5 linked regions of the Macaca fascicularis genome follow. The protein of the gene in region 4 purifies or fractionates together with the protein of the main gene of each other region. This does not show direct contact. Links are inferred from orthologs where the notes say so. Each region holds a gene or a part of one and is shown on either strand. Other genes may lie near its edges. The genes, in order: TOP1, CCND1, CDK5RAP3, CDKN2A and CUL2.

Region 1 (5,223 bases), on a different chromosome or scaffold from region 4:
AATACTCATTTTCCTCTAAATTTATTGACCTGTGGAACTTTTTATACAATAAAATCTTTCAAGTGAAAGATTAGGGTTAAAAACAAAAAGATGGATATCTTAAAGGGTACAGTGAATGCTCAGAACAAAGGATGATGGGAAAATGGTTTCAGTCACTGATTATTTCATTATCCTTAGACTCACTCGCCCTTCATCCCTCCCCAACCCCAATCTACACGATCTTTAAGATCAAGAAAAAGGTTTAAATATTTTAAAATAATTAAAAATAAAAATTCACATTTAAAAAGGAACACTCAAGTCAGGAAATATTTTCCCATCATGCTTTTCTGTGAACAGGTGTCTGAACCAAAACACTGCCAAAGCCACAACTGCTTCAAGTTTAATGAAAATTGATCCCCATGACAATAGAGAGTGACATCTCTAACAGGTGCGCTGGGTTTTTTGTTCTACTTAATTTTAAATTCCTGAAATGGGGGAGAGGGGAGGGAGTTTAGGAATTTATTTCTATTAAAATATAGAAGTTATTGCAAAACCCTAACTGTAAAAACGCACCAATATAATCGGACTTTGCATACAGTAGCTAAGAGAATCCAAACATTTCAGTGAAACAGTGAATTTGCCTGGTAGAACGCTGACAAATTCCCATTCACTTGCCCTCTTGAAAATAAAAACAAAATTCAAAACAAATCATACAGCTAGAATTTTGATATCTGAAATATTTTTAAATAAGTTGTCCATAGGACAACTGGCTCAGCTCTCCCTTATAATATCTCCAGGTTTATCTTTTCGCAAAGATGTTGGTTTGTTAAGACTTGCTGCCTCTCTCCCCCAGGCACGAGGGCAAGCGAGGCTCAGTTTATCCATCTTTCCCAAACCACACTGTTCCTTTTCACAGAACCCTGCCTCTTGAGACTGGCTAAAACTCGTAGTCTTCATCAGCCATGTCAATGGCCCAGGCAAACTTTTCCCGCTGGGTTTTGTTGTAAATCTTCTCAATTGGGACGCCCCACTTCTTGCACCTGCAAATAAAGGAGAAATAAGGGGGATTAGGGTGACTCAGCAATGGCCCATATCTGAAGCTCAGGGTCAGATGTTCCATCTTCTCTTTCACGTCTGTCTAGTGAGGATGCAAATTAATAGTGCACCAAGCATGTTCTAAAGGTTTTATGTGATCAACTCATTTAATCTTGGCAGTGATCTCTAAAGTAGGTGCTTCTGCAGATGTACAAGTAAAAAAGGTACAGATGAAGAAACTGAGGCAGAGACGTTAGGTAATTTACTGATTTTCTCAAACAGCTAGGTGGTAAGTGACCTGAAATTTGAACCCAAGCAGTTTTTCTCCATGTTCTTAACCCTATACTATATTGCCTTTTAAGAGCTAACCAAACCTCTAGCACCAAACAAGGCAAAACGAGCAGAAAGAGGTACAAAAGAGTTAGGTGGAACCTTTAGCCCGGACTAGCAAGTGCCATAGGGGAGGATATCTCCACCTATGCTCAGAACTTAACAGCTCAAACTAAACATCTTCCAAAACAAAGCCACTTATTTCAGATGTTATGTGACAGTGTGTGTGACACACAGAGAGAAACCTAATATTTATCTGCCTTTGTTAAAGACCCCTCTGCCTCTCTGTGTAAGTTGCTCAGATCTCTATTCTCATCTTTATCTCTTGTTCCTACCTTCAACTGCAAAAAATTTCAACGAAAAGTTTTGTTGAAGGGTAGAGTTGAATGGGCTCTTTCCTATTTTGCCAGAAGCTAAGAGTTTCCATTCCTGTCCTAAAGTTCCATAAGGAATAGGGATGGAACCTGCCTCTTAAAAACATAACATACACTACAAGGCAGTATGACAGCACTGACCATTTAGGAGCAACCAGAATGTTGCAATGCATCTACAGACAAGGTTCAGCAACCAAAGTAACTTGTACACAGCTGAAGCCAGAAGTTTCCCCATAGGACTAGAAGTGTGCAGCTTAGGAATGGCATGTGAAGGCCACCAGTGCCCTCCACCTTTCTCAAGCTAGCAGCAGGAGCTCAAGGAAGGTTCAACACTTACCAAGCCACTGTGATCCTAGGGTCCAGATAATTGAGTTTGGAGGTTCCCAAGGCAATTTGTTTATTTTCCTCTCGGTCTGTGGCTTGAACTTCCAGCTTCATCAACTGTTCCTCCAGTCTCTGCACAGCCTTCTTCTTTGACTCTACTACCCTAGAAGAATAGCACAGTCCTCAAGAACCAGGCCTGGGCTCTAAACAAGAGCACACTGTACCCATGCTGCCACTTTGAGTCAATAAAAGCCCTAGTACAGAGATTTCCAAAAGACATCCCTCAGAAACCATAGAAAAGCCAGGGCCCCAGGACCTCTGACAGATGCTGCACACACTTTTCCCCACCCGCCCCAACTTTTACAATACCAGGTACGTACTTCTTGGTCTTTGCATCCTTCATGACCTTGGCATCAGCCTTAGCACTTTTCAGGTCTCTCCGGGCATCTGCTAGCTGTTCCTTCTTGGCATCAATCTAGGGGAAATAATAGTGGTAAGGTTATGAGCTGTAGAGGAAAAATGGCTCCCTCAAGACAAGGTGAAACCTAGATGTTATCTGGACCAAGCTGTCTCTGTCAGTGGTTTGTCAGATAAAAACACCAAGGGTGGCTTCATGAAGGCAGGGAGAAGATGCACAGGGACTACTGAATTCAACTATTTGTTCTTCAGTGATCCTGCAAGAAACAAGGGTTCTACAGCATAGTAACCTAGGGGCTCAGGGAAAGGAACCCGCTGGGGCTGGGAATCTGGGTGCTGATCTTTCCATCAGAGAACACTCTGCTGTCAGACATCTGGGAGAACGGCTACAAATGACAGCTGTTTATCAACTAGATCCTGTGCCAGTTTTTAGCTTTCATTCCAAGAACACTGTAGGAGCTACTCTTTAGGAAGCTGAGCCAGGATACTTGCATCTACTGGGCAACCCCAGCTCATTCCTCAGATCCCACCAGTACTCTGGGAAGGCGGCGACAGCTTCTCAAGGAAAATGGATGCACTGAAGAGAGTACTCAAGGGGCTACAAACTGGCAATTAAAAGATACCCAGGAAGCCAAACAGCTCAGCCAGTCTGTCCCAAACCAGGACATGGCAGGGCCTAGCTTTGGCATTCTGTTTTTAAAAGGAGAGAGGTTGCCGGGCGCGGTGGCTTATGCCTGTAATCCTAGCACTTTGGGAGGCTGAGGTGGGTGGACCACAAGGTCAGGAGATTTAGACCATCCTGGCTAACATGGTGAAACCCCATCTCTACTAAAAATACAAAAAATTAGCCAGGTGTGGTGGTGGGCGCCTGTAGTCCCAGCTACTCGGGAGGCTGAGGCAGGAGAATGGCATGAACCTGGGAGGTGGAGCTTACAGTGAGCCAAGATCACGCCACTACACTCCAGCCTGGGTGACAGAGCGAGACTCCGTCTCAATAAATAAATAAATAAAATAAAAAGGAGAGAGGTCTGAGGTGGGAAGGACCTTAGTTGTCACTCAATGGATGTGAAAACACTTTCAGCTGTGGAGCTTTTTTTCCCAAGTGAAATCTCGTGGAATCCATATCTATAAGGGAAGAGACAAGGGCAGTTTCAGCCTTTCTTGCTTGTTAGAATCCTTGAAGCACCACTGGTGAGAAAGTTCTTAGATTCCTGCTTAGAGACAGCAGTGGGTAACAACATGGAGCTAGAGCCCCTGTCAGTGAGCTCACGCTGCTCTGAGGACAGAAGAACCCCATATCTATGACCATCTAGCTGATCTGTGAGGTTAACACAACCTCCACAGAGTAAATAACATGTCTGACACACACTGGGCTGCTCACTGAGCCCAGAATTGTTTGTTAAATACACACAGCCCAAGACTGGAAACAGAGGCCACCATTGTGAGAGAATCACTAAATATGTTTTACTATGAATGGCTTACTTCCAATATCTATGTTGTCCAAAGCCAAACTGAGGGGACTGATTCTATATACAAAAGCGTCACAGACACCACTAGCCAGATTCTTTTTAGGATAGAAATGTAGCAAACCACAATCTTTTAACCATTTCTGTGAATGCTAAATTGGCAGGCTATGTCAAATTCTCTCAAAGCATCAAAGACTCCATTGATTCACTTGGCAAAAAGGGGCGTGTGTTTGCTTTGTGGGCACACAGGAGAGGAATCCTGGGCTTGGAGGGCTCGTCTGGCAGGCAGCCTGGGCTGCCCAAACAGTGGTTCCAGAGTGAGAGCAACAAAAGACCTCCTCATACTCCTGGGAGGGGTCTTCCTGAATTAGGTAAACAGCACCTGAATATTCATGCTTTTATTTCTGGCTTGGAATGATAACATGAGGAGAATAAACAATTCCAGATGACCAGCATTTAACAGAGTGGCAGCAAATGTGAGCTGCTAGGATGGGCCATCTATAGAGTTCTTTGCCTGCCAATCATATGATCCAAGGACTCAAGTGGTCTATGGATGTATATTCATTCACTGTGGACGGGTACATCTCTTCAAGAAAGCCAGATGGTATCTGTAGCATAAATTATAGGTTGTGTGTACCTTTTGAACCAGCTGTATTACTCATGGGTACTTATCTTAAGGAAATCTCAACAAATGGAAAACATTCTGAGCCTTAAAATGCAGTCTCATTCCATAGTAGTAGTTCTTAAACTCCAGTTGTACAAGTATAGAATTCCATGAACTTGGATGAGAAAAAAATTACATCTATAATTTCAATAACCTCCTTTTGAAATTTATTTATATTTACTTTTAAATTTTTAATAGAGACAGGGTCTCACTCTGTTGCCCGGGTTGGTCTTGAATTACTCAGCTCAAGTGATCCTCCCACCTCAACCTCCCAAAATGCTGAGATTACAGGTGTGAGCCACTGCACCCAGCCTCTAGCTGAAATTTAGCATTTCTTCTTCAGTTATGAATATGGGGAACATCCCAGCACTTTGGGAGGCCGAGACGGGCGGATCACGAGGTCAGGAGATCGAGACCATCCTGGCTAACATGGTGAAACGCCGTCTCTACTAAAACATACAAAAAACTAGCCAGGCGAGGTGGCGGGTGCCTGTAGTCCCAGCTACGCGGGAGGCTGAGCCAGGAGAATGGCGTGAACCTGGGAGGCGGAGCTTGCAGTGAGCTGAGATCCGGCCACTGCACTCTAGCCTGGGTGACAAAGCAAGACTCCGTCTCAAAAAAAAAAAAAAAAAAA
Region 2 (6,021 bases), on a different chromosome or scaffold from region 4:
CAGGGGAAGTGAGGACTGGGTGCTTCTGCTGCCTACGGTGGCGGCCCAAGCTGAGACTGCTCTGAAGCACCCCCCAGGGCTCAGCTGAGCCCGGCTGGCTGGCAGCACCCCTGGCAGGGCCTCAGGCAGCAGAGCTCCTCTGCTGGACACCCCTGCACTCGGCTGCCCAGAGCACGTGGTGCAGGCGGGCCAACAGCTCTCCCCGCCCCTGGAGGCGTCTCTGGCAGGTGGCCCAGCCTGGGAGAGGCCAGGAGGGGGCCCTGCAGCTCAGGCTCCTTAAGGACACAAGAAGGGCTGGAGGTGGGTGGGGAAAGGAGGCGGCCCTGCAGCCAAGGTAAACCCCTTTGAGCATGGAGTGGCCACAGGCTGCCTGGCCTGGAGGATGAGGCCACAGAAGCTGGACACAGGCAGGCCGAGCTGTCCACACCGATGCCCAAGGTACTGCATGGTGGCCGTGAGGGAGCAAATCCCCTTCCATCCAGCACAACAAATAATCCTGGGCCTCTGCTCACCAGAGCTGGAAGAGCGCTTCCCAGCGCAGGAGGGAGCCTAGGGACATCTTCCCAGACATCACCCCGGTGGAGAGCGAGAAGCCGGCCAGGGTCACCTAAGGAGCTGGCTCTCCAGCGGAGGCCGGGGGCTGCTGGGCCTACCCTACCTGTGGCACAGAGGGCAACGAAGGTCTGCGCGTGTTTGCGGATGATCTGTTTGTTCTCCTCCGCCTCTGGCATTTTGGAAAGGAAGTGTTCGATGAAATCGTGCGGGGTCATGGCGGCCAGGTTCCACTTGAGCTTGTTCACCAGGAGCAGCTCCATTTGCTGCGAACACAGGGTGAGCGGCCATCAGGGGAGGTGCGGGCCGGCCCGGGGGCGCGGGGAAGCCGGCAGCATGGGGGCCCGGGCCATGCAGCACCTCCCGCTCAGAGCACTGGCCCCTGCGTCTCGTGCGGTCCTGGAGGTGGGAGGGGAGGGCTGGCGAATGATGGGGGTGGTATCGGGGAGCCGGGGCAACACGCGATCCCAGATCAAAACAGAAAAGGTGCCCGCTGCGTGAAAAGACTCTGCAAGTGGAAACAAAAAGACCTCCCACCACCTGAAACAGAAGGCTCAGTGCGGAGCGCGGCGCTCCTCGTGCAGCCGCTGGAGGGCGCGCGCCGCCCACTTTTCGGCCACACTGCCGGGCGCGAACGCGGTGGGAGTCGCAGGCAAGCGACTTGGGGGCGGTGGGACGGGGGCGGCTAGGATCCCGCCCGCTCCCGGGACAGGGACGCCCGGCGGCGGGGCCGCCCTCCCTGGGAGCAGATATGTCAGAGGCGGGCCGGCCGCCACTGCCTGCACCTTCCCCGGCCCCGTGATCCTGCGTGCGACTCTCGGGGGGCAGGGGGCGGCGGGGTCCCGCGGTTACCAGCAGCTCTTCGGGCCGGATGGAGTTGTCGGTGTAGATGCACAGCTTCTCGGCCGTCAGGGGGATGGTCTCCTTCATCTTAGAGGCCACGAACATGCAGGTGGCCCCCAGCAGCTGCAGGCGGCTCTTTTTCACGGGCTCCAGCGACAGGAAGCGGTCCAGGTAGTTCATGGCCAGCGGGAAGACCTCCTCCTCGCACTTCTGCTCCTCGCAGACCTGCGGAGGCACGGGGCCCGTGACCGCCGCCGCCAGGTCGCGCCGCCCCACCCCCGCCCCCGCACCCCCCCATCGCGCTCGGCAGGACCGCCAGTTCTGAAGGGCGCGGAGGGGTGGGGGCCGGGGGCGGAAGGACCTTCCTGTGATGCGCCCCCTCCCCCGCGCGTCCCCAGTACCCACCCTCCCCGAAACTGAAAGGGAAAGTCCCCGCGAGGCTGGCACGGTGGGGGCGGGAGCGGGCACAGCTGGGCGGCGTGCGCGGCGGCGCGGGCTGCCAGCCCTGGGGACCCCGGCCCGCCCTGGAGCTCCGTGGTCCCTCTGACTGAGGGTCGACACCCACTGGGGTGCGGGGCCGCGGAACGGGCCGCGGGGTTGGGCGCCGCGCCTGCGAGACACAAAGGTGGCGTCCCAGGCCGCCGCGCCGCATTTCCCCAGACGTCATCTTTTCAAAAAATATTTAAAAATATTAAAAAAATAACTAAGTGCATAAAAAAACCCTGAAAATGACCCTCGGGCGACCCTTTACCCAGGCCGAGGGTCGGGAGTTCGTTACAGGCTCCGGGGGGAGCCCCAGGAATTCAAACTCCGGGGCCCCCCTTCCCCCTGGGCGCGGGCGGCGTTTCCCTCTCGCAAGGGCACCACGCCGCACTTTCAAAAATTATTTAAAAATACTTGCGGGCCCCTCAGGCGCCCACCGAAGGTCTGAAAATGTGCTCCCAGGCCCCCGGCTCCCTCAGAGAAGGTCCCCCAAGCCGAGATCCCTGCAGACGGGGATCAAGCCCTGGCGTCTTGGGGGCCACGCGACCTTGCAGCTCGGCGTGCTCTCCGGCCCTGGCTGCCCATTTGGGGCGCCCCGGGACTCGCTGCTTAAACAAAGGGCCCCCCTTCCCGAGCGGGGTCCCCCCAAAACTCCCCATGCCGCGTCCCTGCGCCCCTCCCGCGGGCTCCCGGCGGCCGCGCGGCCCCTAGCTGCGGCCCCAGCGCCCGGCGGCCGCTCCCCGCCCCCACCCTGCCCCCAATTATTAATAAACACTTTTGCTTTGCAATAAAAGAGCAAAGATGGCGCATAATACTGGCACGAGCGGCCCTTGCATACGTGTCCATGGATATTAATTTAAAAATCAAATCTATGCCCCCTCCCCCCGGAGTTGGCGGCTCTCGGCCGCAGCGGCCGCGAGAGGAGGCGCAGCCGGGCTGGGGCGCAGGCGGGGGGCACAAAGCGCACTCAGCCTGCCAGCCCGCACCCTCGGGCCCATTGGGGTGCCCCGACACTGGCTTCTCCCGACGGCACCCCTCCCCAACCCCCTTCTCCCCTCCCACGAAACGCAACTTATAGCACCCCCACCCCCACCCCTTCCTGCTTCAGAAAATACCCACAATTTTTATTTTTAAAATGCGGATCCCTAGCAACACCACAGCAAACTTCAAAGTTCTAGCGGGAGAGAAGGGAGGGGGGTGAGGAGCAAAGAAACGTGGGTCTGGGCAACAAGTTGCAGGGAAGTCTTAAGAGAGCCGCCCAAAGCCCCGCACCTCCAGCATCCAGGTGGCGACGATCTTCCGCATGGACGGCAGGACCTCCTTCTGCACACATTTGAAGTAGGACACCGAGGGCGCGCAGGTCTCCTCCGCCTTCAGCATGGCCCGCAGCACCCGGTCGTTGAGGAGGTTGGCATCGGGGTACGCGCGGCGGATGGTTTCCACTTCGCAGCACAGGAGCTGGTGTTCCATGGCTGGGGCTCTGCCTGGGCAGCTAGGGAGGGCTGTGGGTCCGGGCTGGGTCCGCGCTCGGCTCTCGCTTCTGCTGCCCCGCGCTCCCTCGCGCTATTCTGCCCCTCGCCGGAGCGTGCGGACTCTGCTGCTCGCTGCTACTGCGCCGACAGCCCTCTGGAGGCTCCAGGACTTTGCAACTTCAACAAAACTCCCCTGTAGTCCGTGTGACGTTACTGTTGTTAAGCAGAGATCAAAGCCGGGCAGAGAATGGGAGCGGGAGGGGGGCGGGGGCGGGCGCAGGGGGAGGGGGCGCGGGCGCCAAACGCCGGGAGCAGCGAGGGGCAGAGCCCAAAAGCCATCCCCGAGGCGCCGCGCCTGCCCTGCGGCGGAGTTGCCCCCGTAGTCCGGTTTTCATAGAAATGCAAATCGCCCCGCTGCAGCCTTTCTCCCCGCCAGGGAAGAGGGGTGCAGGGGGCCCCGTCCGCCTCGAGTGGGTTCCCCGGGATTTAGGGGGTGAGGTGGAGGTGGCTCTGCAGTAGGGGACCACTAGGAAGGCCGGCAGGCCACACGCAGCCTGGGGAGACCACGAGAAGGGGGGACTCTAGGGCGCGGCGACACCCCATATCCAAGCCGGCAGAATGGGCGCATTTCCAAGAACGCCACGAGGGCACCCACGGGCGGACAGACGGCCAAAGAATCTCAGCGACTGCATCTTCTTTCATTTTCATTAACACGTGTAAATTTCAAGAACTATTTAGCATACAGGGACGGGGAGGACCGGGCACACAACCCCTGTGCAAGTTTCATTCCGGCGCACAGGGGCGTCGTTGCAAATGCCCAAGGGGGTAACCCTAAAAGTTAAAGGAATTTCAGCTTAGCATGCGCTCGCTCAAAAAATAAAATAAAATAAATGCCCGAAAATTCCAGCAGCAGCCCAAGATGGTGGCCAGCATTTCCTTCATCTTGTCCTTCTAGCCTGGAGACTCTTCGGGCTGCCTTCCTACCTTGACCAGTCGGTCCTTGCGGGGATCCCCAAATGCACCCCCTCCCTTCCCGTGCCGGCAATTTAACCGGGAGAAACACACGTCTGAATGGAAAGCTGAGAAACAGTGATCTCCGTTCTGACTCATTTTTTTAATTAAAAAAGAAATTAAATTGCTGGAAATATTAGTCGCCTCAGCCTGGGACAAGACCACTGGAAGGTTCCTAATTGGTTTTGTTGGGGGTGTAGACGTCCCTTCACCTTTAGAGTTTGCCCTGGGACTAAATTCGTGAGCATGAGGGGGCTGGCAGGAGCGGGCATAATTCAGAACAATTATCAATTAAACAAATGAGTGTACTGATCTGATTTTTAGCAAAATCGATAGGTGTTCGTGGTTTCATGAGAGGGTCCCCACTACCGCAAACTTAAGCAGATGTAAATTAAAATACATAGTTTTTAAAATAACAGGTTCTGTCTCTTTGGTGCATTAAAAAATAAAAGGACATTTTACTGTCTTAACTTTTGTTTTTGTTATTTTAATAGTACCTGCCCCAAATTAAGAAAACTGTTCATTTACTTCCTTTTGAATATAGTTTAGTGTCATCAAACCACCGTATCCTCTTAACAGTAAAAGCTCAAAGAAAACGGATAGAAAAAGTCCCCTCCCCTTCGCCAGGGAGCTCACAGCAAGATGCGACCCCCCCCACCCCCCACCTTTCAGGGTGAATTCCTCCCGTGCCCCCTCCCCCGCCGGGAATTAGGATTACTAATATTCCGGGTCCTGGGGGGTAATTACCCCCAGATTCCGCATGGGGAGCGATGGGTGGCCCCAGCAGGGAGCACCCACGGTCGTGTCCCCCCCACTCCCCGAGCACCCATAATCGCTTTGGCCCCAGCATAGCCAAGCCTCAGAGCATCAGCCCGCGCACGAGGGCGGCCCAGCTGCTTTTTCATTCATAAAATCCCGACCCGGCGGCCGCCTGGATGATTTATGGGGCCCGGAGCTATCACCCGGCCTCTCCCACCCCGGGGGTCGAGGGGCCCCGAGCCCCGCGTGCGCCCTGGCCCAGCCCGAGGCGCGAAGCGGGCCGAAGTCGGCTAGGGGCAGCACGGCATAAAGAGGCTCGCCCACTCCGGCAAAACCGGCTCTGGGTCCAGGAGGGAGCTTCACCCCCCCATCCCGGGCGCAAGACAGAGGAAACTGGAATTAGCATGAGCCAATGGGGGCGCGGCGCTGTTACTAGGCGGACCGGGCAGATCTAGGCTAGGAACTTCGTTGATTTCCCGGCTCAGGGACGAGCGCAAAATTGCAAGCCCGGCTAGCGAGCGTAAAGAGCCGTCCAGGAACCCGCGGGGGAGGCGCTGGAATTTGGGGCCCGGCGGGGAGCGCCAGCTGTCCAGCCTCCACCTGGGGGAACCCTGCTTAGCGGCCCCCGGGTCCCCTGAGGGGGCCAATACCTCTGGGCTTTTGAGGGTCATTGCTTCAAGAAGCGCAGAGAAAGCATTTTGATTTTTTTCCAAAGGGAAAAGCAACTTTAAAAAACTTTTCTGTTGCAGTTTTACTTTACACTGTCTTCTTAAAACCCACCACGAAGCAGGAACTGCGGCTTCTGGGCTCATTTAAAGTGCTCTGTTCTTATTTCTTGGTGACCATTTGGAGACAAAGGCCAAGTGGCCCAGTCGGGAGGGTAACCACGCTGGTTTGAAAG
Region 3 (5,223 bases), on a different chromosome or scaffold from region 4:
GGCTTTCCATCTTCCAGTCGGCCTGATCTTTTGCCTTGAAGGGCCTCAAAACATCAGCCCTGGCTATCATCTTCAGCCCAAAGGCTGAGAAGATGGGCAGGCAAGAACACAGAGGGTGTCACAGAGAGGTTCCCATCAGGTTCACAGGGCGCCCGCTGTACCTCTTGGAGATGTCAGCTTCAATCTGAAATAGTGATACCAAGTGGGCGGAAGCAGGGGTGTTCAGGGCCTCGCTCTGCACAGATTGGGAGTCCTCCCACTGGCAGGCCTCCCTTTCCCATCTCACCAGCTTCTGCAGCTCCTTGCTCTTCTCCAGCAGCAGGTCCAGCTTGGGCTCCAGAGCCGCCTGCTCCCCAAGTGCCTCCTGCTGCTTCTGCACCATCAGCTCTTTCTTCAAAGCCAGCAGCTGGGACTGCTTCAGCTTTTGCTGGAGGAATTCAGTCACTCGGTCCACATACCTGTGCGGGGCACTCAGGTGAGTGCTGGGGTAGCTGTGCACCCTGAGCATTCCCATTCAGCTGCTGGGGAGGTGAGAGGCTCGGAAACCAAACCCCCAATTGGCCGCTTACCCTCATATCCTTAAACCCTTTCCTTTCTTTTAAGGAAAACCCACTCCCAGTTCCCCTGTCCTACTCAGGAAGCAAGCAGATTCTTCCTGTATATATCAAACCACCCCCTCTTGCCCCAAAGAGAACCCCTATCCCCAGTGGATGGCAACAGCCAGGAGGCAGGGACGGGGTCTAAGGGGTCGTGGAACAAGAGGAGGAATACAAGGAGGCAGAGTTGCTCAAGATGGCAGAGCCTTGCATCAAGGGGAAGCCAGACCTTGGTGAGGCCAGGATCATAAACAGGTGTTGCAGCTGAAGATTGGTGAGCTTGCCTATCAGATTATCCAGCACTGACACCATGGTAACCATCTTCTCTTTGGTCTGGCCCTGCAGGATGGCCGGAGCCAGCTGGAACTGGCTCACAGACAGGACGTCTGCCTCCTCACTCAACTCCACTGCTCTCTGGGCTAAGAAGATCTCAAGCTGAGGACAGAAGAAACATTGGTTCAGGCTGTACCTGATGGCTCACACTTGCAATTCCAGCACTGTGGAAGGCCGAGGCGGGAGGATCACGTGAGGCCAGGATTTCAAGACCAGCCTGGGAAATAGTGAGACCCTGTCTCTACAAAAATTTTAAAAATTAGCCAAACATGGTAGTGCATGCCTGTAATCCCAGCTACTCAGGAGGCTGAGGCAGGAGGATCACTTGAGCCCAGGAGTTCGAGGTTATAGTGAGCTATGATTGCTCCACTGCACTCAACTGGGTGACAGAGAAACTCTTTTTTAAAAAAAAGGAAGAAAGAAAAAAGATAAATTGGTTCAAACTGAGAAAAGAACTCAGAATCTAAGCCCTTAGACTACTTGAAATGCAAAAATGAGACATGAGGGCTAGACTCTGGGTAAGGTGGGGTTATTTCCCCTGAACACTGTAAGCTCTCGGAGAGACTACTGTCACCCTTCAGTCCCCCACTCCTTTCTCAGCCTAACCCCAGACCTCGGTCCTTTCTCCCAGCCTGGGATCAGATAACTGAGAATACAGAGACTCAAAGGGTTCTCTCTGCCCAGGGAAGATATTTATTTTGTCTCCATGGGAGGAATGAGATTCAGGGAACAGAAATACATGTTTGAGAAGCACTGGATTAAGGCAAAGCTGAAAAGAATACAAGAGCCAGTCACATTATCTTATCAATCCTATTCTGCCATTAAAACTTGACAGATATCTTTTGTCCTCTCCCCTCGAAGCCGGGAGGAGCCTCTGGGCAGAAAGAGGAGGGAACTGGGTGAGGACAGAACTTTCAGGAGGCTCTCTGAACCAGCAGGCTACTGGGAAGGGAGCAGATACAGAGATTAACAAAGACAGGACCCCATCCTCCCAGCCCTACAACAAAGGTCCAAGAATGCTGGCTCCTTACGCTGGGCTGCTCAACACCTCAGCCACAGGGATCGTGCTTAAATACAAATGAGATCACGTTCCTAACCTGCCCAAAACCTCCAACAGCTTCCCAGTTCACTAAGAGGCAAACCAAAGTTCAGATGCTGTTTTTCTGAGCTCTTCTACTACCCACCAGCTCTCCCTCCTCAGCCACACCAGCCTCCATGTTGCTGGTCAACTGTGCAAGGCCTGCTCCCACCTCGAGACCTCTGCAGTTGCTCTCTCTGCCTGGGAAGCCCTTCTGCCAGACATCTGCATGGTTCTCTCTGCACCGCCTGCAGTCTTGATTACAGGTCACCTTCTCTGAGGCCTTCCCTGACCACCAGATACAAAACTATAGCCCTTCCCAACATCTCGTCATCCTTCCCTGCTTTCTTTTTCTCTGTGGCACTTAGTACCATCTAGCATCCTGCAAATTTTATTTATCTTCTTCCAGTCTGCATTCCCCATTAGAATATAAGCTCCATGAGGTCAAGGACTTTACCTGTCTTATTCACCACCTAAGTTCTGGTGCCTAAGACAGTGCCAGGTGCCTAGGAGGTACCTGATAAGTAACTGGATGAACGGGAGGCATCTAATATGTGAGGTTCCTGCTGCAGGACACAGAAAGCACTCACACCCTTCACACAAACAGGAGGGTCAGGTCAGGCGTCCGGAGTGAGGCCACCTGTGCTGGTGCCATGCCTCCCCCTGCATCTCCCAGAGATGACAGTACCTCCATGAGCTCATCAAGGAACTGATTCCGGGTCTCAGTGTACTCAAGAAGTGTCAGAGCATCTGGGCCCCTGGCAACACCTTCTGGAGCTGCCAGGAAGAGAGACAGAGAAGTGATAAAGGATCAGAGGACTGGAGAAGGAAAAGACCCTCAAGTTTGAGAAGCCCTGGAGGATCAATACGGACAGACTCACTGCGCTAAAGCCACTTCCTGTTCCAATCCAAGGGAGAAGGGTACCTTGTCCCAGGTGTCTCAGCTCTAATCAGGTACCACTTTTCAACCCCCAGCCTGAGAGAAGGACTAGAGCTGGGTTCAGAGGGGTAGAAAGGCGGGTTCTCTGTTCTGGTGGACGGTAGGAAGTAAAGTTTCATCCTGCACCGCCCTCTAGTGGCTCAGACACCACTACATTTTCTCGGCTGCTGGGGCGGGGGTCACGTCACACTCCAGTGCCCCCTGACCCCCCTACCACCCTCCTATCAAAACAGCTGGCCCACATTTGGTCTCTAAAAAGTTGAGAGTTTCTAAGCTCTTAACTTTTAAGAACCTCTCTTGGGCCAGGCGCAGTGGCTCACACCTGTAATCCCAGTATTTGGGAGGCCAAGGCAGGCGGATCACCTGAGGTCAGGAGTTTGAGACCAGCCTGACCAACATGGAGAAACCCTGTCTCTACTAAAAAAATATAAAATTAGCTGGGTATGGTGGTGTATGCCTGTAATCCCAGCTACTTGGAAGGCTGAGGCAGGAGAATCGCTTGAACCCAGGAGGTGGAGGTTGCGGTGAGCTGATACGCCATTGCACTCCAGCCTGGGCAACAAGAGTGAAATTCTGTCTCAAAAAAAAAAAAAGAAAGAACCTCTCTTGGTCCCCCTCAACTCACATCCTCATCAAGGTTTTCAGAAACAGTTAAACGTGCGAGAAGCCTCATCTTGGTGCTGCATTTTTTTTCTGTTTCTAGACACCTGGGGGCCCTTGAGCACCCCACTTTTGCCAGGGCTGCAGGGGATAGTGCACTTACCCTGGGTTCCTGCTTCCAGCACTGTGATCTGCAAAGCAACAGCATCGTCACCCCAGTCTATCCCATCACCTCCAGGGTCCTGGAAGGAGAGCAAAGAACCACAGCAATGGTGGGAGAATTTTCTTGAGCCAAGGAGCCAGAATAAACCAAAGCCCTTGATGAGGTCAATGGCTGCACGTTCCAACTCTATTAAGGACTTGCAGCCCTGAGTTAGGTGCCAAAGATGGCAGTAGGGCCCATCATCCCTGCTCTGTAGTGTTCCCACCTGCCTATACCCCTACATCCTGCACCAGACACCAGGCAGGAAAAAGGACACCAAAATTTAACTCTGACATGGGCTGGGTGCGGTGGCTCACGCCTGTAATCCCAGCACCTCGGGAGGCCAAGGCAGGTGGATCACCTGAGGTCAGGAGTTACCAGCATGGCCAACATGGCGAAACCCCGACTCTATCAAAAATACAAAAATTAGCCGGGCGTGGTGGCTCACGCCTATAATCCCAGCACTTTGGGAGGCTGAGGCGGGTGGATCACGAGGTCAGGAGATCGAGATCATCGTGGCCAACATGGTGAAACCCCGTCACTACTAAAAATACAAAAAAATTAGCAGGGTGTGGTGGCGGGCGCCTGTAGTCCCAGCTACTCAGGAGGCTGAGGCAGGAGAATGGCATGAACCTGGGAGGCAGAGCTTATAGTGAGCCGAGATCGCACCACTGCACTCCAGCCTAGGTGACAGAGTGAGACACTGTCTCAAAAAACAAACAAACTAACAAAATACAAAAATTAGCAGGGTGTGATGGTGGGTGCCTATAATCCCAGCTACTTGGGAGGCTAAGGCAGGAGAATCACTTGAACTTGGGAGGCGGAAGTTGCAGTGAGCCGAGATTGCGCCACTGCACTCCAGCCTGAGGGGCAGAATGAGACTGCCTCAAAAAACAAAACAAAACCCTGACATGTAAGGTGTGAAACTCTGCCTCCCTTGGACTATACCTGGTCTTAGAGCTATGAACTTCAAGTGATGCCTTTACAGACACAAATGACACTTTTCTGATGGTTAGAGTAGTAATGAGAGAGACAGACTGAGAAGGCCTCCTCACCTTTGAATCTGATTCCAGGAAGACGCCCCAGTCGATTCCAGCAGCCTCGGCAGAGATGCCAGAGTCAGTCCCCTCAGACACTGCCTCTACCCCAAAGTCGCCCCAGTCAATCTGGAAAGGGAAAGAGAGTGTTAGCTCATGGAAGATGGATTTAAAAAGGGCCAGGCGTGGTGGCTCATGTCTGTAACCCCAGCACTTTGGCAGGCTGAGGAGAGGGGATTGTTTGAGCCCAGGAGTTTCAGACCAGCCTGGGCAATATGGCAAAACCCTATCCCTACAAAGATGTTAATAAAAAATTAGCTAGGAGTGGTGGCGCATGACTGTAATCCCAGCTTCTTGGGAGGCTGACTTGGGAGGATCGCTTGAGGCTGAGACGCAGAGGTTGCAGTCAGCTGAGATCATGCCACCGGACTCCAGCC
Region 4 (5,852 bases):
CATAAAATACCTTAAGCTAAACTAAACGAATTTTATTTATCGATAGTTTGAATTTTCCATATCATTGCTACACAGCTAAATGAGAGGTACTCCGAGGAAAATATAAATGGCACAGTAATGCATTGTAGATTTTAATAACATACTTGACATCCCAAATTGTTTCCATTGGCTTCATTTTAAAAACTACGTGTTTTAACATCAAGCAGACACTAAAAGTACAAGATATACTGGGTCTACAAGGTTTAAGTCAACCAGGGATTGAAATATAACTTTTAAACAGAGCTGGATTATCCAGTAGGTAGGTTAAGCATGTGCTTAAGGCATCAGCAAAGTCTGAGCAATCCATTTTTTAAAAACGTAATATATGTTTTTGAAAAGCTTAAAAAGTAATAGTCACAGGAAAAATTAGAACTTTTACCTCCTTGCACTTGTTATACTCTTTAGTGCTGTTTAACTTTTCTTTATAAGTGAGGGTGGTGGAGGGGCCCATAATCTTTTCAGGGAATAAGGTCTTCTTGATCTTTCTTTCTTTTTTTTCTTTTTTTTTTTTTTTTTTTTTTTTTTTTGAGACCGAGTTTCGCTCTTGTCTCCCAGGCTGGAGTGCAATGGCGCGATCTTGGCTCACTGCAACCTGCGCCTCCTCCTAGGTTCAAGCGATTCTCCTACATCAGCCTCCCAGTAGCTGGGATCACAGGCATGAACCACCAAGCCCAGCTAATTTTGTATTTTTTAGTAGAGACAGGGTTTCGCCATATTGGTCAGGATTGTCTCGAACTCCTGACCTCAGGTGATCCTCCTGTCTCAGTCTCCCAGAATGCTGGGATTATAGGCGTGAGCCACCGCGTCCAGCCTTTCCTTTTATATAATAGTGATAATTCTATCCAAAGCTTTTTTTTTTTTTGAATCGGAGTCTCATTCTGTCACCCAGGCTGGAAGGCGGTGGCGCGATCTCGGCTCACGGCAACCTCTACCTCCTGGGTTCCAGCGATTCTCCTGCCTCAGCCTCCTGAGTAGCTGGAATTACACACGTGCACCACCACGCCCGGCTAAGTTTTGTATTTTTAGTACAGACGGCCAAAGCTGGCCTCGAACTCCTGACCTCAGGTATCTGCCCGCCTCAACTTCCCAAAGTGCTGGGATTACAGGCGTGAACCACCGCGTCCGGCTCCAAAGCATTTTCTTTCTATGCCTCAAAACAAGAGTGCAAGCCAATCCTCAAAACGGATAATTCAAGAGCTAACAGGTATTAGTTTAGGATGTGTGGCAGTGTTCTTAACTCTTATATGTATTAATATACAACAATTCATTTAAACTCACAACACCCCTGTAAAGCAGGGGGTACCCATATTCCCTTCTCCCTTTATAACTAAGAAAAATGCAAAGTATTTTCAGTAGGAAAGAGAAATGTGAGGAGTGTGTAGGAGACAGGACAATGTGTAAAGCGGGTCTTTGGATCACTGTGCAACTCTGCCTCTAGAACACTGAGCACTTTTTCTGGTCTAGGAATTATGACTTTGAGAATGTAGTCCGTCCTTCCAATGACTCCATCTCCATTTTCCTATCTGCCTACAGGCAGAAATCTCCCCCGTATTAAATAAACCTCATCTTTTCAGAGTCTGCTGTTATACCAGGCAATGTACACGTCTGAGAAACCCTTGCCCCAGACAGCCATTTTACACGTAGGAGGGGAAGGGGTGGAGAAGGAGAGGGTAGGCCAACTCTCCAAAAGGAATCCTTTGAACTAGGATTTCTGACTTAGTGAACCCCGCGCTCTCGAAAATCAAGGGTTGAGGGGGTAGGGGGACACTTTCTAGTCGTACAGGTGATTTCGATTCTCGGTGGGGCTCTCACAACTAGGAAGGAACAGTTTTGCTTTTTCTTATGATTAAAAGAAGAAGCTATACTTTCCCTATGACACCAAACACCCCGATTCAATTTGGCAGTTAGGAAGGTTGTACCGCGCAGGAAGGAAACGGGGCGGGGGGCGGGGGGATTTCTTTTTTTCTTTTTAACTGAGTGAACGCACTCGAACGCGCCTTTGCTGGCAGGCGGGGGAGCGCGGCTGGGAGCAGGGAGGCCGGAGGGCGGTGTTGGGGGCAGGTGAGGAGGAGGAGCCCAGTCCTCCTTCCTTGCCAACGCTGGCTCTGGCGGGGGCTGCTTCCGGCTGGTGCCCCCGGGGGAGGCCCACCCTGGGGCGACTTCAGGGGTGCCACATTCTCTACGTGCTCGGAGTTAATAGCACCTCCTCCAAGCACTCGCGAACGGCGCCCCCCTGCCTGGAAAGATACCGCGATCCCTCCAGAGGAGTTGAGGGGGACAGAGGCCGAGGGGGCTCTTCCGCCAGCACCGGAGGAACAAAGAGGAGGGGCTGGCTGGTCACCAGAGGGTGGGGCGGCCGCGTGCACTTGGCCGCTGCGGAGAGTGGGAGAGCAGGGAGCGAGCAGCCGGGAGCAGCATGGAGCCTTCGGCGGACTGGCTGGCCACGGCTGCGGCCCGGGGTCGGGTAGAGGAGGTGCGGGCGCTGCTCGAGGCGGGGGCGCTGCCCAACGCACCGAATAGTTACGGTCGGAGGCCGATCCAGGTGGGTGGAGGGTCTGCAGCGGGAGCAGGGGATGGCGGGCGACTCTGGAGGACGAAGTTTGCAGGGGAGTCGGAATCAGGTAGCGCTTTGAGTCTGGAAAAAAGGGCTTCCTGGGGAGTTTTCAGAAGGGGTTTGTAATCACAGACCTCCTGCTGGCGAAGCCCTGGGTGCTTGCGAAGCCAAGGAAGGAATGAGGAGGCACGCGCGTGCCGATCTCTCGAATGCTGTGAAGATCTGAAGGGGGGAACATATTTGTATTAGATGGAAGTATGCTCTATCAGATACAAAACTTACGAAGGTTTGAGATAAAACGGGAGTCTTAAAGAAATGTAAGATGTGCTGGGACTACTTAGCCCCCAATTCACAGATGCCTGGATGGAGTTTATCTTTCTTACTAGTAGGGATTATCAGTGGAAATCTGTGCTGTATGTTGGAATAAATATCGAATATAAATTTCTGATCGAAATTATTCAGAAGCTGCCGGGCGCAGTGCCTCACGCCTTATAATCCCATCACTTTGGGAGCTCAAGGAGCGGGGGGATCACCTAAGAGTTCGAGACCAGCCTGGCCAACAGGTGAAACCCCGCCTCTACTAAAAATACAAAACTTAGCCGGGGGGTGGTGGCAGGCGCCTGTAATCCCAGCTACTCGGGAGGTTGAGGCAGGAGAATCGCTTGAACCCGGGAGGCTGAGGTTGCAGTGAACAGCGAGAGGGAGCCACTTCACTCCAGCCTGGGTGACAGAGTGAGACTGTCGAAAGAAAGAAAGAGAGGGAGATTAAAAAAAAAAAAGCATTCAGAAGCAACTACATATTGTGTTTATTTTTAACTGAGTAGGGCAAATAAATACATGTTTGCTGTAGGAACTTAGGAAATAATGAGCTACATTCATGTGATCGTGCCAGAAGTAATATGTAGTCACCATTTTGGGAATATCTGCTAATATTTTTACTGTTTTGCTATCTTTAGCTTACTTGATAATAGTTTATTTTGTGATAGAGTTTTCAATTCCTCATTTTTGAACAGTGGTGTTTCTCCTCTCCCTACTCCGGTTTTGTGAGGGAGTTAGGGGATGATTTAAAAGTAATTAATGCATGGGTAACTTAGCATCTCTAAAATTTTGCCAACAGCTTGGACCCGGGAATTTGGCTTTGTAGTCCTAAAACATCTTAGAAGAGACCTTATTTGTTTAAAAACAAAAAGGAAAAAGAAAAGTGGATAGTTTTGACAATTTTTAATGGGGAAGGGAGAAGAACATGTAGAAAAGGGGAAGTGTTGTTGGCTTAGAATCCTAACTACACTGGTGTTTAATATAGGAACACTTATTTGTATAATATTTTTAAATGCTAAATTCATATCAATTTATTATCAAATGGGTTTAAGCATCCTACACATTTTAATTCAATGAATTCATTTTCTTTTTGCTTTGGATTTATATCATGATTTAAATATTTACATATGGGTTACTTTTTAGGTTTTTCATTCTATGAAATATAATAAAAACCTTTAAGGCTAGTTTTATGACCAAGACAAAGAGAACTTCAGTGAACACACGGAACAATAAATATGCTGCAACATTTTGTCTTTCTTTTTGTAGCTGCAATTTGGTTTGCTTATACTTTCTCTTTGTCTCTTTGAAAACTAAGTCAGTTTCACTTTCTCAGGACAGCATTTAATAACCATAATATAATTTAGTATAATTCCTTGATTTAGGCAAATTATGCAATTTGTGTTTAGTATGAAATGTACCTAAAAATAAGTAATTCCTCTTTAACACAACCATCCTCAAGCTAATATAACAAATAACAGTTATCCTAAAATAAATTGTTTATTTCCACCATGCAACACTCAAATTTTAAGGTTGCTATGACTGGAGACAGTATTTTAAAATTCCTCTCTGGAAATGGCTTTGTTTCCAAGATGATTTAGGAACCAAAAAGGTGACCATCTCTTGTTTAATGAACTCTCAAATCATAAACCTGGGAAGCCTTTTCGTTTCCTATTGCTGCTGTTACAAATTACCACAAATGTGTTAGCTAAAACAAACAAAATTATTATTTTACAGTACAGTTCTAGAGATCAGAAGTCAAAAATGGGTCCACTTTGGGAAACTCTAAGGGACAATCTGTTTCCTTGTCTTTTCCAGCTTCTAGTGACCATCAAATTCCTTGGCTCATATTCCCTGTATTTTCTCTGTGGCCTGTGCTTCCATTCTTTTATCTTCTCTCTGACTGTGACCCTCTAATAAAAACACTTGGGGTTCTATTGAGCCCACCCTGAAAATTCTGGATAATCTCCCTCAAGACCATTACTTAAATCACATCTGCAAAGCCTCTTTTGCTACATAAGTTAATAAATTAACAGTTTCTGAGGATCAGGACATAGACATTTGTGGGGGGGGACCTTATTCAACCTACCACAGGAAGGAATTTTAGGGCTAGTCTAGCATTCTTATTTTATACTTGAAGAAATTGAATTTTTGGAATTGGAGAGCATTATGCTAAATGAAATAAGCCAAACACAGAAAGACAAATATCACATGTTCTCACTTATCTGTGAAATATAAAACAAATACATTCTTAGCAGTAAAGAGTAGAATGGTGGTTGCTGGAGCTGGGGAGGGGGGCAGTGGGAGGAATGGGGAGTGGTAATCAAGATACAAAGCCTCAGTTAAGATGGAAGAAATAAGTTTGATTTTTTTTGAGATGTGTTTCACAGCATGATAAATATAGCTAAATAGTAAATCCCAAATGCTCTCATTTGACAAAAATATCAAATATTTGAGATGATGGATGGGTTAATTAGCTTGACTTAATTCCACATTGTGTTCAAAGATCATAACTTCATATTGTACCACATAAATATATACAACTGTACTATGCCAATATGTAATTTTAAAACTAATTTAATGAAAAAGAAATTTAAGTTCAACGTTCCCAGAAACTAAGGGTAACTTAAAAGTTTTGTGAGAATTTGTTTAAAAAAACAAACAAACAAGTTTTCTCTTTTTAACAATTACCACATTCTGCGCTTGGATATACAGCAGAGAACAAAAAAAAAAAAAAAAAAAAAATCTCCAGGCCTAACATAATTTCAGGAAGAAATTTCAGTAGTTTTATCTCAAGGGAAATACAGGAAGTTAGACTGGAGTAAAAGTCAGTTTGTCCCTGCCCCTTTGCTATTTTGCCCATGCCTCACAGTGCTCTCTGCCTGTGGCGACAGCTCCGCAGAAGTTCAGAGGTTATAATGGAATTCAATGTGATAGAGAACTC
Region 5 (5,790 bases), on a different chromosome or scaffold from region 4:
CATGTGGTCTCACCATGTTGCCCAGACTAACATTTTAAATTTTGAGTCACGTGAATATAGTTTTTGTTAAAAACATTAGTATACCAATAAATAAATGCTGAGGACTCTCCATATCCATCTTTCTCTCTTCACTAGAAGTTAAGTTCCATGAAGCCAGAGATTTTTAAACTACTATATCCACACATCTGGTTTAAAGCTGGTGCTTGAGAAGCCCTTGTTCAATGAGTTAATCACTCCTCAACCTCTCACTAAGTTCTACACTTATTTCCAATCACCTACTTCTCACCTCCACTTGAACAATGAGATCCAACTTAACATGTCCAACCCAACCCCATCCCATACAACAGCCTGCTTCCCCCCACCCTTCTTCATCTCAGTACACAGCATCATCATTCTCCAGCGGAAGCCAAAAACCCGGGAGTGACCCCTGTCCCACTGCATGCTCATCTAAAACATGACAATTTCAATAAGTATCTTCAACTCCAAAATAAATCTCAAAACCTTTCACTTGTACCTTAACCCTCCACAGCCACTGCTCTTATCACTGGTCTCCTTGCATCTCTCCTCTTCTCCAATTGAGTCTGATTCTCAATCAGACCTTATCACTCCCAGTTTAGAAGAGTTCCAAAAGCCTTTTAATGTATCATAAGAACAAAAGCCAACATGATCCAGCCCCTGGCTAGGACCCACCTTTAATCTCTATAAGGGTCCACCTTAAGCCAATTTCAGTTTGTTGGATCCAAGTTTGATAGCACCTCAGGGTTTTTCCATTTGCTCCTCCCTAAAACAGGAAAACTTTTCCCTCAGAATTTCAAACTTTACCTCAGGAAGGTCTTTTCCGGTTACAGTATCTGAAGTAATCCCCCAATTACTACCACAACTCCTTACCTTATTTCCCACACAGCACTTATTCTCTGAGATTACTTCTTATTTACCATCTGTCTCTCCATCCCAAGCCAGAATTGACACTCCACGAGGATAGAAATTTAATGGGTCGGCCAGGCACAGTGGCTCACGCCTGTAATCCCAGCACTCTGGGAGGCTGAGGAGGGTGGATCACGAGCTCAAGAGATCAAGACCATCCTGGCCAACAGGTTGAAACCCAGTCTCTACTAAAAATACAAAAATTAGCCGGGCGTGGTGGCATGCACCTGTAATGCCAGCTACTCAAGAGGCTGAGGCAGGAGAATTGCTTGAACCTGGGAGGTAGAGGTTGCAGTGAGCCGAGATCGTGCCACCGCACTTCAGCCTGGTGACAGAAAGACTCCATCTCAAAAAAAAAAAGAAATGTAATGTGTCTTGTTTACCCTTGTATTTTTAATGCCTGCAGCACTGCTTGACAAATAAACCAGGTACTTAATAAATATTTGTCAACTGACAGACAACACAAAAACGACTTTAAAGAAGGTCCATAACATTTAATCTAGTGACAAACTGCTGAGGGTAAAAGACATGGATAATCTTCACAATTATAGAACACTTAAAGCCACCAGAAAGGATGGAGAATGGAGAGTATTTCAGATGCAGGAGAACATCCAAATACTCAAAAGGCAATTGAAAAGGAATTTTTCCTACGCTATGTGCATGCACATTGTAGAAATGTTCCCCCAACTCATAAACAGCAACTGAAAAAAACAAGTAATTCAAAACACTGTGGGCTGGGTGCTGTAGCTCAGGCCGGTAATCCCAGCACTTTGGGAGGCCTAAGCAGGGGGATCACCTGAGGTCAGGAGTTCGAGACCAGCCTGGCCAACATGGTGAGACCCCCGTCTCCACTAAAAATACAAAATTAGCCGGGCGTGGTAGCATATGCCAGTAATTCCAGCTACATGGAAGGCTAAGGCAGAAGAATTGCTTGAACCCGGGAGGCGGAGGTTGCAGTGAGCCAAGATGGCACCACTGCACTCCAGCCTGGGCGACAAGAGCAAAACTCCATCTCAAAACAAAAAAACTGTGTACTTCTGTTACCTCACGTGACTCTTTTGTACGCATCTTCCAGATACTGTATATGGGCAAAAGAAGCAAAGTATAGCTAATTTATGTTCATGTGTTTTGAAAAGGGATGTAAGATTCTAAAGGGTAGGCAACAGTGTTTTGAATGTTTTTAAGCGATTATTATGTAGTCAGTTGTCAATCAGATCAAAGTGATTATTTCCCATACTTTACTACGAAGGTAGGCTTGGGCCAGGTCTAGTTCAAAGACGTTTATGTTGAACAGTCACAATCTATAGCGAATGTTAATATTTTGCATCTTATCTTCAAAATTTAAACGCCCAGGGTACTGGCCTTCAACTGTTAATATTAATCCATGGGGCAAAGATGTGGGCTTAACATTAATAACAGTCTGCAATTCACAGATGTTTTATTTGATTGCACGTAATGGTAGGGAATGGTCCAGACTCCCTAGAGGGTAAGCAAGTGCTAGAAAGCCTGTGAGGATCTTATTTCACCAGACCCTAAGTGTTGAGACAAGAGGTCTAGCTAGCATGCACGTAGGATACTCCTCCCCAAAGCTATCAATCTTTGCAGTCTGCAGAAACAAAAGTGAAAACACTCGTGGTAAGGATGCATGAGATGCCCCCCACACACACACAAACACACAGAGTTGTGTATTCGTGTGAGCACGTAAATATTTAGAAGAGTACACGCACTCTCACCTTCCCTCCTTCGGAGGAAAATGGGGCCGCGGGAGAGGCGGCCAAGATCGGATTGGGGAGGCCCGGGATCCAGTCCAGGGGGTGGCAGGGCTTAGGGGTCAGCGCTCTGGGGAGCCGAGGTCACTTACGGGATACCATCTTACCGGGCCTCCCCGTTTCATCCCTCTCCCCACACCTCGTCGCCCCCAACTCCTCTCCTCCGCCCCAGCCCCGCCACCCATTAACCGGGAAGGGAAGTTTCCCGGCGCCTGCAGCCCGGCTCCCCGACCCTCAGCGGGGTTACCTTCTGCAGAAGCAGGGCAAGGGGCAGGGGACAAGGGGAGGGGGAGGCAGCCCGAAGGAGTGAAAGACGAAGCCCCGGCGAGGAAGGTGGGCGGAGGCGGCGGCGGCGGCTGTCAGCTCGCGTTCCCCTGTTCACAGCGCTGCCATTACTGTGCGCCGAGGCCGCCTCCCCGGCCGGCCGCCGCCACCGGCCCCGGAGACGCGGGGGGTGGGGAGCGAAGCCCGGGGAGCCCGCGCGCCGACACTCACCTGTCTCCGCGAGGAAAGACAGCGAAGTCCAAGGCCGCCACCGCTGCCCGGCGGGACAGGGGCGGTAGGGAGGGGGGAAAGGGGAGAAGGACGGGCCGATCACGGGATTCGTAAAACAATCGTCCTCCTCTGCCTCCGGCTTTCCCCAAAACACACCCTCCGGTCTCCTTCTTCCGCTGCTGCCAAATCCCCCCCCGCCGCCGGAAAGCAATGGTAGAGGCCGCATTACGGCAAGCGCAGGGAGCCAAGCTTTATGTGATTGCGAAAGGCCACGAAAATTAATATTCCAAGTGATTCCTTGCTGGGCTTGCTGTCAATGAGGCAATTGCGGTTCGCTGAGCTGATGGACACAGTACCCACTCACTACCCGTTAGTCCAGGGGCTGATAATAACAATATGTTGGAATGGTGCTTTCAACAGAAGTATGTTTTCCTTGTTTCAGACCTCTGTGAATCCTAAGACACCACAATCGTCTTGCCACACACTTCCATGGGCTTTGCAAATGATCAAAAATATATTAGTAAAACTACTTCTCCTCTCTGACAAACTCTTTTTCTAGTTAGTTTTTATCTACAGAGAACTTCTTGGACATACATGTATTTTCGATAAAGAAACTTCACATCTTTGTCACTAATAGCCCACCTTCACCAAGCCCCAAGCCTATCAGTTTGAAGGGTTTTCCTCCCTTGGAGTTTTAAACGGTAAAGTTGACAAAAATGTAGAATTACTCATCACCTCCTCATATATGCAGGGCCACAGGGGAACAAAAGCCCCTCCGTAATGCTTTTTTGCCTTTCATATCCTCAAGAGCTCACCATCAGGGTCTTGTTCATTTATACCATTCAGCAAGCTTTTCCCTCCCATCCCTTCCTTCCAAACTGCACCAACCCTTCAAGGCCCATTTAAAACCCTGCCTCCTGACCTGATCAATCCCTACAGTCTTCTGTAGGGACTGTAGGGATCCCTCCTCTTCTAGCTTCTCTTAGTACTTGAAGTCTATACTCTTTATTTCATTAAAGAGTTTTTATACACTAAATTCAATTCAACAATATGTTTCCATTATGTGACCTTTTTTTCCTCCCGTGTTTCCTCCTTTTTAATCTAGTGATTCTCAAAGTGTGGTCCCCAGACCTCTGGAAATCCCTGAGACCTTTACAGAGGTCACAAGGTTAACAACTAGTTTGTTAACAATGCAACATGTCTGGTCCTTTTTTGTTTTTGTTTTTTTGGATAGAGAGTCTTGCTCTGTTACCCAGGCTGGAATGCAGTGGTGGCATGATCTCAGCTCACTGCAACCTCTGCCTCCTGGATTCAAGTGATTCTCCTGTGTCAGCCTCCCAAGTAGCTGGGATTACAGAAGCCCGCCACCACACTCAGCTAATTTTTTGTATTTTGTAGACACAGGGTTTCACCATGTCACCATGTTGCCCAGGCTGGTCTTGAACTCCTGAGCTCAGGCAATCCACCCACCTCGGCCTCCCAAAGTGCTAGGATTACAGGCCTGAGCCACCGTGCCAGGCCTCCCCCCCCCCGGTTTTTGTTTTGTTTTGTTTTTGTTTTTGACACAGGGTCTCCCTCTGTCCCTGAGGCTGGAGTGCAGGAGTGCGATGGCCCGATTATACCTCACTGCAGCCTCAAACTCCTGGGCTCAAGCGAGCGCCCCATCTCAGTTTCCCAAGTAGTGGGGACTACAGGCACGTGCGCCACCACACCCAGCTAATTTTTGTATTTTTGGTAGACGTGGGGTCTCACTGTGTAGCCCAGGCTGCTCTGGAACTCCTGAGCTCAAGCGATCTGCCCACCTCAGCCTCCCAAAAGTTCTGGGATTACAGGAGTGAGCCACCACGCCTGGCCTCCTCTGTCTTTTTGACTGAGTTTGTTTTTGTACTGATGGTACAAAGGAATAGGGACACTATTGATGCCTTAGCAGGGATCAAGACAGTGCCACCAACCTGTCTGGGTGGTCATTGGATCGCTGTATTCACTGCCACACATTCCCAGTTTTTAAGACTATTGATTGGGCCGGGCGCGGTGGCTCACGCCTGTAATCCCAGCACTTTGGGAGGCCGAGGCGGGCGGATCACAAGGTCAGGAGATCGAGACCACGGTGAAACCCCGTCTCTACTAAAAATACAAAAAATTAGCCGGGCGCGGTTGTGGGTGCCTGTAGTCCCAGCTACTCGGGAGGCTGAGGCAGGAGAATGGCGTGAACCCGGGAGGAGGAGCTTGCAGTGAGCCAAGATTGCGCCACTGCACTCCAGCCTGGGAGACAGAGCGAGACTCCGTCTCAAAAAAAAAAAAAAAAAAAAAAAAGACTATTGATTTAGGAATATCCTGGATGAAGCAGAAGCATTAATTTTATTAAATTTTGGCCCTTGAATACAAGTCTTTCTAACACTCTAGGTGAAGAAATGGTACATACACATACACTTTTGCATGCCAAAGTGGGATGACTGTCTTGAAGACAAGCACTTGTGTGGTTGACTTACAGGCTGAACTACCTGCATTTTTCATGGTGAAACTGCCTTTGCAAAATATGATAGTAAGAGGAATCTGACCTCATTGATTTAATCTTGCTTCTGACCTCCAAGGTGTTCCTGGT

The links.
Region 1: the proteins of CDKN2A (region 4) and TOP1 purify together in Homo sapiens (affinity purification with western blotting; 3 studies listed by BioGRID). This does not show direct contact. The link is inferred for Macaca fascicularis from reciprocal best matches to the Homo sapiens genes CDKN2A and TOP1.
Region 2: the proteins of CDKN2A (region 4) and CCND1 purify together in Homo sapiens (affinity purification with western blotting; 3 studies listed by BioGRID and IntAct, with this or other methods). This does not show direct contact. The link is inferred for Macaca fascicularis from reciprocal best matches to the Homo sapiens genes CDKN2A and CCND1.
Region 3: the proteins of CDKN2A (region 4) and CDK5RAP3 purify together in Homo sapiens (affinity purification with western blotting; 3 studies listed by BioGRID). This does not show direct contact. The link is inferred for Macaca fascicularis from reciprocal best matches to the Homo sapiens genes CDKN2A and CDK5RAP3.
Region 5: the proteins of CDKN2A (region 4) and CUL2 purify together in Homo sapiens (affinity purification with western blotting; 3 studies listed by BioGRID, with this or other methods). This does not show direct contact. The link is inferred for Macaca fascicularis from reciprocal best matches to the Homo sapiens genes CDKN2A and CUL2.

Annotation. Positions count from the first base shown.
Region 1 is NC_088384.1:97,227,206-97,232,428, reverse strand, and holds part of TOP1 (DNA topoisomerase 1), read right to left. Parts: intron 2,518-5,223; coding exon 2,423-2,517; intron 2,206-2,422; coding exon 2,056-2,205; intron 1,020-2,055; coding exon 917-1,019; 3' UTR 1-916. UniProt on the Homo sapiens protein: Releases the supercoiling and torsional tension of DNA introduced during the DNA replication and transcription by transiently cleaving and rejoining one strand of the DNA duplex.
Region 2 is NC_088388.1:5,017,430-5,023,450, forward strand, and holds the start of CCND1 (G1/S-specific cyclin-D1), read right to left. Parts: upstream 3,507-6,021; 5' UTR 3,349-3,506; coding exon 3,151-3,348; intron 1,621-3,150; coding exon 1,405-1,620; intron 819-1,404; coding exon 659-818; intron 1-658. UniProt on the Homo sapiens protein: Regulatory component of the cyclin D1-CDK4 (DC) complex that phosphorylates and inhibits members of the retinoblastoma (RB) protein family including RB1 and regulates the cell-cycle during G(1)/S transition.
Region 3 is NC_088390.1:58,752,181-58,757,403, forward strand, and holds part of CDK5RAP3 (CDK5 regulatory subunit-associated protein 3), read right to left. Parts: intron 4,916-5,223; coding exon 4,805-4,915; intron 3,790-4,804; coding exon 3,711-3,789; intron 2,785-3,710; coding exon 2,696-2,784; intron 1,032-2,695; coding exon 826-1,031; intron 459-825; coding exon 287-458; intron 185-286; coding exon 162-184; coding exon of another isoform or gene 119-161; exon of another isoform or gene 35-118; coding exon 1-34. UniProt on the Homo sapiens protein: Substrate adapter of E3 ligase complexes mediating ufmylation, the covalent attachment of the ubiquitin-like modifier UFM1 to substrate proteins, and which is involved in various processes, such as ribosome recycling and reticulophagy (also called ER-phagy).
Region 4 is NC_088389.1:76,949,372-76,955,223, forward strand, and holds the start of CDKN2A (cyclin-dependent kinase inhibitor 2A), read left to right. Parts: upstream 1-2,431; 5' UTR 2,432-2,455; coding exon 2,456-2,581; intron 2,582-5,852. UniProt on the Homo sapiens protein: Acts as a negative regulator of the proliferation of normal cells by interacting strongly with CDK4 and CDK6. This inhibits their ability to interact with cyclins D and to phosphorylate the retinoblastoma protein.
Region 5 is NC_088383.1:35,861,996-35,867,785, forward strand, and holds the start of CUL2 (cullin-2), read right to left. Parts: upstream 3,373-5,790; 5' UTR 3,189-3,372; intron 3,143-3,188; exon of another isoform or gene 2,941-3,142; intron 2,901-2,940; exon of another isoform or gene 2,658-2,900; intron 1-2,657.